Canis lupus familiaris: one gene and its partner. The protein of the gene in region 1 interacts with the protein of each later gene in a pairwise test. Links are inferred from orthologs where the notes say so. Each region holds a gene or a part of one and is shown in the gene's direction. Other genes may lie near its edges.

What was found.
Region 2: the proteins of EEA1 (region 1) and RAB5B interact in binary tests that used the Homo sapiens proteins (3 or more experiments, as listed by UniProt). The link is inferred for Canis lupus familiaris from reciprocal best matches to the Homo sapiens genes EEA1 and RAB5B.

Annotation. Positions count from the first base shown.
Region 1 is NC_049236.1:33,556,125-33,560,489, reverse strand, and holds the start of EEA1 (early endosome antigen 1), read left to right. Parts: upstream 1-1,264; 5' UTR 1,265-1,433; coding exon 1,434-1,457; intron 1,458-2,117; exon of another isoform or gene 2,118-2,491; intron 2,492-4,365. UniProt on the Homo sapiens protein: Binds phospholipid vesicles containing phosphatidylinositol 3-phosphate and participates in endosomal trafficking.
Region 2 is NC_049231.1:669,340-673,145, forward strand, and holds part of RAB5B (ras-related protein Rab-5B), read left to right. Parts: intron 1-2,592; 5' UTR 2,593-2,692; coding exon 2,693-2,855; intron 2,856-3,806. UniProt on the Homo sapiens protein: The small GTPases Rab are key regulators of intracellular membrane trafficking, from the formation of transport vesicles to their fusion with membranes.

The DNA of each region.
Region 1 (4,365 bases):
GGGCCAAAGGCAGGCGCCAAACCGCTGCGCCACCCAGGGATCCCTCTTTCTTATTTAAACAATATTAAAGTCTTCCCTCTTCGTCCCAGGGTAAAGCTCCTGAACCTTGGCTTGTGAATGCTAGTAGAATGGTGGGACTCTGGAGCTGTGATTTTTTTTTTTTTTTTTTTTAAGATCTAAATATTTTAGAGAGACGGAGAGCCGGGCAGGTGCCCATGTGAGGAGGGAGGGGCTGAGGGAGAGAGAGAGAGAGACTCTCAAGCCGACTCTGCGCAGCCTGGAGCCCAGGCGGGGCTCTCCCACTGCCCGGAGATCGCAGACCTGAGAATAAATCCACAGTCCCACGCTGCATGGACCGAGCCACCCCAGCTATGATTTTTGGACCTAAGTAACGACGTGGTGCCTGGAAGTCAGTTTGAAGTCCACACGCCCTGTTTATCTGTGACCTTCTTCTTCTCTCTCTCTTTTTTTTTTTTTTTTTTTTTTTTTACTGAAACAGACGCATTAACGTTGCTTCAGTGGATACGCCTGTTAGCAGCACAGGACTTGAAATTCCTTGGGAGTCGGGCCACGCAGGGGCTTCCCAAGGAGAAGGGGTTAGAGACCTCCGCCGATTACAGACTGATCCGACGATCCAAAAAGGACGCCCCTAAAGTTCTCTTGCCAACTCAAATTCGTTTCTCCCTCTCCTTCCTTCTGCTTCTTTACTTTCTCTCTGGCCGAAATCAGCAGCGAGAAGGGAGGACAGAAAGGAGACCCGGGATCGAAGCCGAGGCGGGAAGCCCAGCGGACGGGAGAAGCGTGTCCGCGACTCCCTGCTTTGCCGCGGAAGTGAGGGTCCCGTGCAGCCTCGGTCAAGAGCAGGGTCCAGCCGACCAGCCTGACCCGGCGGCGCGGACCCTCCCCGGGGCCCTCCTCCCGCGGGGCCCGGGGCTCCCCGCCCGCCTCCCCCCGCGGGCTCGCGGCCGCCGCGCGGGCACGGCCCCTGACGGAGCGCGGGCGTGCGCTCCGCCGCCGCGGCGTCCCCCGGCCCGCCGGAAGGAGGGGCGGCGCCAGCGTCCCGCCGCCTGTCCGTCACGCGGCCGCCCACGCCGCCGCCGCCTCCGATTGGCCGCAGGCCCGGGCCGGGCCCCTCGAGGCCCCGCCCCCCGCGGACGGACAGGCCGGGAGGGCGTGGCGGCGGCGGCGGCGGCGGCGGCGGGCGGCCCGCCCGGCTGTCAGTTACGGGGGCGGCCCGGCCGGCGGGCGCGCGCTCCCTGTCGCCGCCTGTGGGGAAGTCGGGGCCGCCCGAGCGGCCGCCGCCACCGCCTAGCCCCGGCCTCCTCCCGGGTGCCTTCCCGACTCCGTGTCCCCCGCTCGCGCAGCCCCGGGTCGTGAGGGGGCCCGCGCAGGGTCCGGAGAGTCACCGCGGCGGCCCGGGCGGCGTTTAAACCATGTTCAGGAGGATTCTGCAGAGGGTAAGCGAGTGCAGCCGTCCGCGGGGCGGCACGTGAGCGGAGCCCGCCGCCGCCGCCGCCGCCGCCGCCGCCGCCGCCGCCGCCGCCGCCGCCGCCGCGCTGAGGGGCCGAGGCGGTGGCTCCTTCCTCCTGTAGGCCCCGCAGCCGGGAGGTGGTTAGGCCTCGGCCGTCGGCGCCGGGGGCGGGCCGCGGGGGAGGGCGGGCGGCGGCGGCGGCGGCGGCGGGGCGGCGGGGCGGGCGGGCCGGAGCCCGGGCGGCCGCCGAGGCCCCCGCGGCCCCGCGCGCCCAGGCCCGGCCGGCGTCGCGCTCCCCGCGGGGCTGTCAGCGCGGCGGGCGGCGCGCGGCGGGCGGCGGGGCGGGAGGGTGTGGTGCGGCGCGTTCCTCCCCGGCCCGGGGACGCCGCTGCCGACCCGAGTCGGTGCCTCGCCCGGCGGGGAGCGCCCGGCCCCTCCGCCGCCCGGCTTCGCGCGCACCTGCCGCCCTGGGCCGCGGGTTCGCGGGGTAACGTGCCCAAGCCCGGCCTAGCTCGGGCCCAGTCGTGGTCCCGACACTTCCTGGCGAAACCCGCCGAGGAGGAGGAGATTACTCACTGTTGGAAACTTTTTTTTTTTTTTTCCGTCCCCCAATTAAAAATGCGTTTCCCCCTCTCAGCCCCGGTACCTTTTTTTTTGAGCTCTCCGAGAGTAAATTCGCAGTCCGCTTCGTCTAGTGTTCAGCGCTCGCTCCGTCACTTTCTGCCAGCGCTGTCCCTACTGGAAAGCTGGAAAAACCTGAAGCTGTAAAGCCAAGAGCATTGGAAAGCTGTACGTGTGTTGTTTAGAGATCGACTCCTAGAATAAGAAGAGTATCATTTCCTACAAGCGTTGCTGTCACTCAAGGTTTTGTTTTGGATAGCTTTTCTTTTCTTTTTTTTTTTTTTTTGGAATCTGAGAAGCTGCGACAAACTGTAAACGATTGAAAAGTTGGGGCAAACTGATTAGTTGGTTACTGAGGGAGTAGGATTACTGGTTCACAGGACGGAAGAAATTAGTGAATTTGTAGTATTTAGCCAAGGAATGTGCCAAAGACAGTTGAGTCATCCACTATATGGAAAGGGAGTGTCCTTGGCTCCTGCACAGCTTTGTGAAATGGTCAAGTCATGTGAGACTTGGTCGTGCATCAGGGGAGAAATAGTTAACTTTTGTATCTGCCGCCCTGTATTGACATCTGATGATTTTTTTTTTTTTTTTTTTTTTGCAGTGGTTTTGTCAGAAATCTTGATAAGCTGATGATTTTAGCAATAGCAAGGACATGCCCTTTACCCCTGTCGTCCCTTCCTGGGTCCAGCAGTAAAGACGAGTGTGCATGATTTACTTGTGGTACTTGGAGAGGGTTTCCTTCTAGTCCAACCTGGAGGAACCGATTATCCCCTCATCCCTCAGACTGTGTTTCCGCTATAGTTGCACATCTGAAAATTAGTCTGCCTATGGTTTGCTTTAAAGTTGATAAATAAAACGAAGTGTTTCCTGACTCAGGAGTGGCGTCTGGTAGGGGCGCCTGGCTGGCTTCATTGGAGAAGCAATGCCATTCTTGACCTAGGAGTCCCGAGTTTGAGCCTCACATTGGGTGGAGAGGTTATTAAAAAACATACATGAATAAACTTTGAAAAAAAGAGTAGCTTCTGGTAGTTATAGTTTTCGGAAATACGGGATACTTTCCCGTCCTCGTGGTTTAATGTTGTTAAGCATTACCGTTGTCTAAGGACCGTTCTTATATAAAGACCATGTGTTGGTGCATGCACGACTATTAATAGAAGTTTCAAATGAAACTGCAAAATTGGGATTCTGATCATTGCTGAGATGTGACATGCGATCATCACATATGAATAAGTCAGGTGACAGTTGACTTTTTTTTTTTTTTTAATTTTATTGATTTATTCATGAGAGAGAGGCAGAGACACAGGCAGAGAGAGAAGCAGGCTCCATGCAAGGAGTCTGAGTGGGACTGGATCCCGGGACTCCAGGACACGCCCCGGACTGTAGGGGGCGCTAGACCACTGAGCCACAGGGGCTGCCCGGCAACTAACTTTCTTAACCAAGGCACTACTGATATTTTATGACTGGATAGTTCTTTTTTTTTTTGTGGGGGGCTGTCCTTTTGCATTCTAAGATGATGCTCTGGCTTCTGCTCACTTCATGTGGTTAGCAGTCCACCCCTCCCCCCACCCCTTTCCCCTTTTGTGACAACCAAAAATATATATATATACTTTAAGATTTTATTTATTCATAGAGACAGAGAGAGGGGCAGAGACAGGCAGAGGGAGAAGCAGGCTCCATGCAGGGAGCCCGATGTGGGACTCGATCCCGGGTCTCCAGGATCACAGGCCAGGCTGCAGGCAGCGCTAAACCGCTGCACCACCAGGGCTGCCCCAAAAATATCTCTTGATTGAGAACCATTGTGTTAAGTGTGTATACTCTTTTATAGGGAAATTTGAATTGTTTCTCACAGTTACTTTTTCCCCTTGTGTATTTATATTGAGTGTCAGTAGTCACCAGACATATGCAAGGGACTGGGAAATGGTTTATAAGGTATGGGTCCTCCCTTTAAAACTCACAGCCAGGTAGGGGAAGTGGACATTTAACAGTGATTACAGTGCTGTGTAATAGAAGAAGTGTGCCCTGGGTGCCTCTGTGTGAGGGTGTTGGGATCCTCAGGAGAAGCTTCTAGTAGGAGGTCATATTCGCAGCTCCAAAGAGGGAGGGGCATGTCAGGCAGAGGGAGACCGAAATGCCAAGGCATCTTGAAAGGGTAGGAGGAATGTGAACAATTAAGGTTAGGAAGTGAAATGAGGTGCAGGGATAGGTGGGAGATGAAGATGCCGGGGTAGTAGAGGCTGGATCCCTAGAGGACTTAGACTACCTTCAGAGGA
Region 2 (3,806 bases), on another chromosome or scaffold:
GATTAGTAGCTTAATATTCATTGAGTGCTTATTGTTAAATACTTCCATTCATTTCTATTATAATTATCATTTCATAAGAGCTCATAAGGCTATTATCCCATTTTACAGATGAAATGAATGCACAGATTTAGTAACTTCCTCAAAGCTTCAGAGCTAGTAGCACAACTGTAAAATACACCCAGTGAATTGGACTTCACTGTGTTTCCCAGCTTTACTAGAATTGCAGATTGTTACTAGAATCAACCTTTGAGAAAGGAAAGATTCATTTGAACAAAGTACAACCCAAGCAATGCTTAGGTTTTGGACAGAGGTTTTTACATGCTCTGATCATATTAACTCCTTTGGTGGTTCATTTCCCCTCAGAGTCAGAATGATGAAATATAAATTATATTCAGGGTTGGATAATTAGACCTTCAAAGTCTCAACGTCTCTCTGGCTCTTCCTTCACCATCAGCTTTCCAAGCCCCTTGAAAGGTAAAGAAGGTAGCTCAGTTTATTTTCATCAAGTGTTTCCTGCTGGAAAGCTTATCCCTACAGGGTACCTGGGTGGCTCAGTTTGTTAAGTATCTGACTCTTGATTTTAGCTCAGGTCATGATCTCAGGGTCCTGGGATCAAGCCCCATGTCTACCTCCACACTCAGGGCAGAGTCTGCTTAGGATTCTCTCTCTCTCCCTTTTCCTCTGCCTGCCCCACCCCCACTCACGCTATCTCTCTCTAAAATAAAATCTTTAAGACAAACAAAAAAATAAAATAAAAAATAAAAAGACAAACAAACAAACAAAAAACAAGAAAACTTACCCCTACATCATCCTCTGGAGACTCCTACATGTGTTTAGAAGGTACATGCTCTTTCTTTGCCTCTAATTTGGAGGCCTACAGCTGTTAGGCCCATTTAGTGTGGAGGGTAATCCAATCCCTCGACACCAGGAAGACAGCTGCAAGTTGAGAGTAGGCCAAGCCTACCGATTCTTATTCTAATAGATTTTCAGACTTGGAGAGGTAGCAAGACAAAGTGGAAGAGTTGATGCTGAATGTGGTCTGTTGGTTGTCTGTGGTCCTTTTTTTTTTTTTTTTTTAATTATTATTTATTTGTTTCACAGAGCACATAAGCAGGCAGAGGGGGAGGGAGAAACAGGCTCCCCACTGAGCAGAGAGCCCGATGTGGGGCTCAATCCTAGGACCCTGAGATCATAACCTAGGCCAAAGGCAGATGCTTAACTGACTGAGCCACTCAGGCACTTCTATGGTCTATTTTTCTATTTTCTACTCACCTTTGGCCAGAAACGAGAAAGGACAGCTTTTCTGGCAAATGGACCCTGGTTAGAGATTCAGAAATATCAAGAAGACTGGTTATAGATGAAGGATATGGAACCAGAAGCTACCCCTCTGCTCTTAGGGAGGGGTGACTAATCCCATACCCTTGTAGTGAATCTTCCATTTTGAAAGCTAGAAAAAAAGATGGGAGTGGGGGGAAGAACAGTACCAGGATACTAATGAGCTACTGGGGACTTAGGGCATGTATGGGTGCATCTGGGTGTTCTTCAGGCCAACTAAAAGTTGTTTGGTTTGGGGTGCCTAGATGGCTCAGTTGGTTAAGCATCCAACTCTTGGTTTCAGCTCAGGTCATGATCTTAGGGTTGGGAGATGGAGCCCTGCATCAGACTCTGTGCTGAGCTTGCAGCCTGCTTAAGATCCTCTCTCTCACTCTGCCCCTCCCCACTTCTTGGTTTGCTGTTCTTTGAAGACCTGTGGTGGTGTGGTGCTGGGGGACCTGGGTGGCTTAGTGGGTTGAGTTTCTGGGTTATGGTTTCAGGCTCAGGTCATGATCTCATGGGTTGTAGGATAGAGCCCTACATCCTGCTCCAGGCTCAGCTAAAGTCTGCTTAAAGAGTCCCTCCCGGGATCCCTGGGTGGCTCAGCGGTTTGGCGGCTGCCTTTGGCCCAGGGCGTGATCCTGGAGTCCCCGGGATCGAGTCCCACGTCGGGCTCCCGGCAGGGAGCCTGCTTCTCCCTCCTCTGGTGTCTCTGCCTCTCTCTCTCTATGTCTATCATGAATTATTTTTTTTAATTTATTTATTTATTTATGATAGTCACAGAGAGAGAGAGAGAGAGAGAGAGAGGCAGAGACATAGGCAGAGGGAGAAGCAGGCTCCATGCACCGGGAGCCTGACGTGGGATTCGATCCCGGGGACTCCAGGATCACGCCCTGGGCCAAAGGCAGGCGCCAAACCGCTGCACCACCCAGGGATCCCTCTATCATGAATTAAAAAAAAAAAAAAAATGATGAGGAATTAATGGGAAATAAACATATAACAGTTTTCCATCTCTCCATTTCAGCTCCCTTGGCAATTGAGGATTATGTAGTAGGGCAAACTCCACTTCAGATGCAATTCTTATTTTATTGTTTCCCATTCTTGCCACGGAGTGTCAGCTGCCTGGGACCCTCTCAGTGGGATAACCTTTTAATGGTGGATGATTTTAATTGCTAAGTCCTCATAGAAGCAAAGAAATGAAGAGATTTATCTTTTCTCTAAAATTAATTGCAGCTGCAATGTCCCTGTGTTTAATTTTACCTACTTTTTTTCTTGCAGGATTGTTGAAGCCTGAAGTCCCCTCCCCTTCCCCCCTCCCCCCTTTGCCGCTTTGTGGCATCCCCCTCCCTCTACCCTTCCCCATTCTGATAATCTAGCCATGACTAGCAGAAGCACAGCCAGGCCCAATGGGCAGCCCCAGGCCAGCAAAATATGCCAGTTCAAATTGGTCCTGCTGGGTGAATCTGCAGTGGGGAAGTCTAGCCTGGTATTACGTTTTGTCAAAGGGCAGTTTCATGAGTACCAGGAGAGCACCATTGGAGGTGAGTACCTCAGGGAAAGAAGAGGGTCAATGATTAGTGAGGCTTTTGAAGGGAGATCGAGGGATCTGACTGTGTAGCTGGCCTTTTTAAGCTCCTTGGAATGGAAATCCTTTATAAAACTGGAAAAAAAAAAAAAGTCCATAATGCCAAAAAGTAGTTATATGCTTGTCCCCTTGCTTCCTAGAAGAAAATTAGGATGACCTTGGCACACCAAGGTCACTTAATTTTTTAAAGCCCAGTTTGTCTTCTGCCTCCCACTTCTCTCTTAATCCAATTGAAGTTCAGTTGAGTGTCATCTAGAACAGGGTTGGCTTGGAGCAGTGATTCATAATCAGAAATGAACATCAGAATCTCTTGGGGAACATTTTCATCCTGTCATGCTTAGGCCCTATCCTAGATCTACTGATTAGCATTGGAACTAGAGTAAGGGTGGGGAGATAGAGACCTATACGTTTGGAAAAGCTTAGATGATTCGGATGTACATACCTGGTAAAAGAGAGGCTGGAACTAAATACAAAAGATAAAAGGTATGTGCCTTTTCCACCTTTGCTACCATCTCCCTTCTACTCCCAAAACAGGGTGCTAGTTAGTAAAAGACCTTTTATGAGAACTCCCATGTTACTCCTTTCCCGCTTTTACTAGTTACCTTGGAAATGTGGTGTTTTTGACCAGCAGAAGATTATATAAAAAAGTAACAGCCAAATAATACTGATAATAGTGTGATCTGCCATCAGGCTTTAAAATCTTCTATTTATTGATGTAACCTTTACCTGAAGCTTATTTTCTGTCATCATCTTGTATTCCCCTATTTTGGTTAGAAGAAAGATGACTGGTATACATGTCAATTCTCTCTAACCTTCATAATTTACGTGCCCCCATTCCTTAGATAGAGAAACTTCTGGCAGGAAGGATTTAGTCAAGGGCAATCTTAACCCTAGTTCTAGGGCCTGT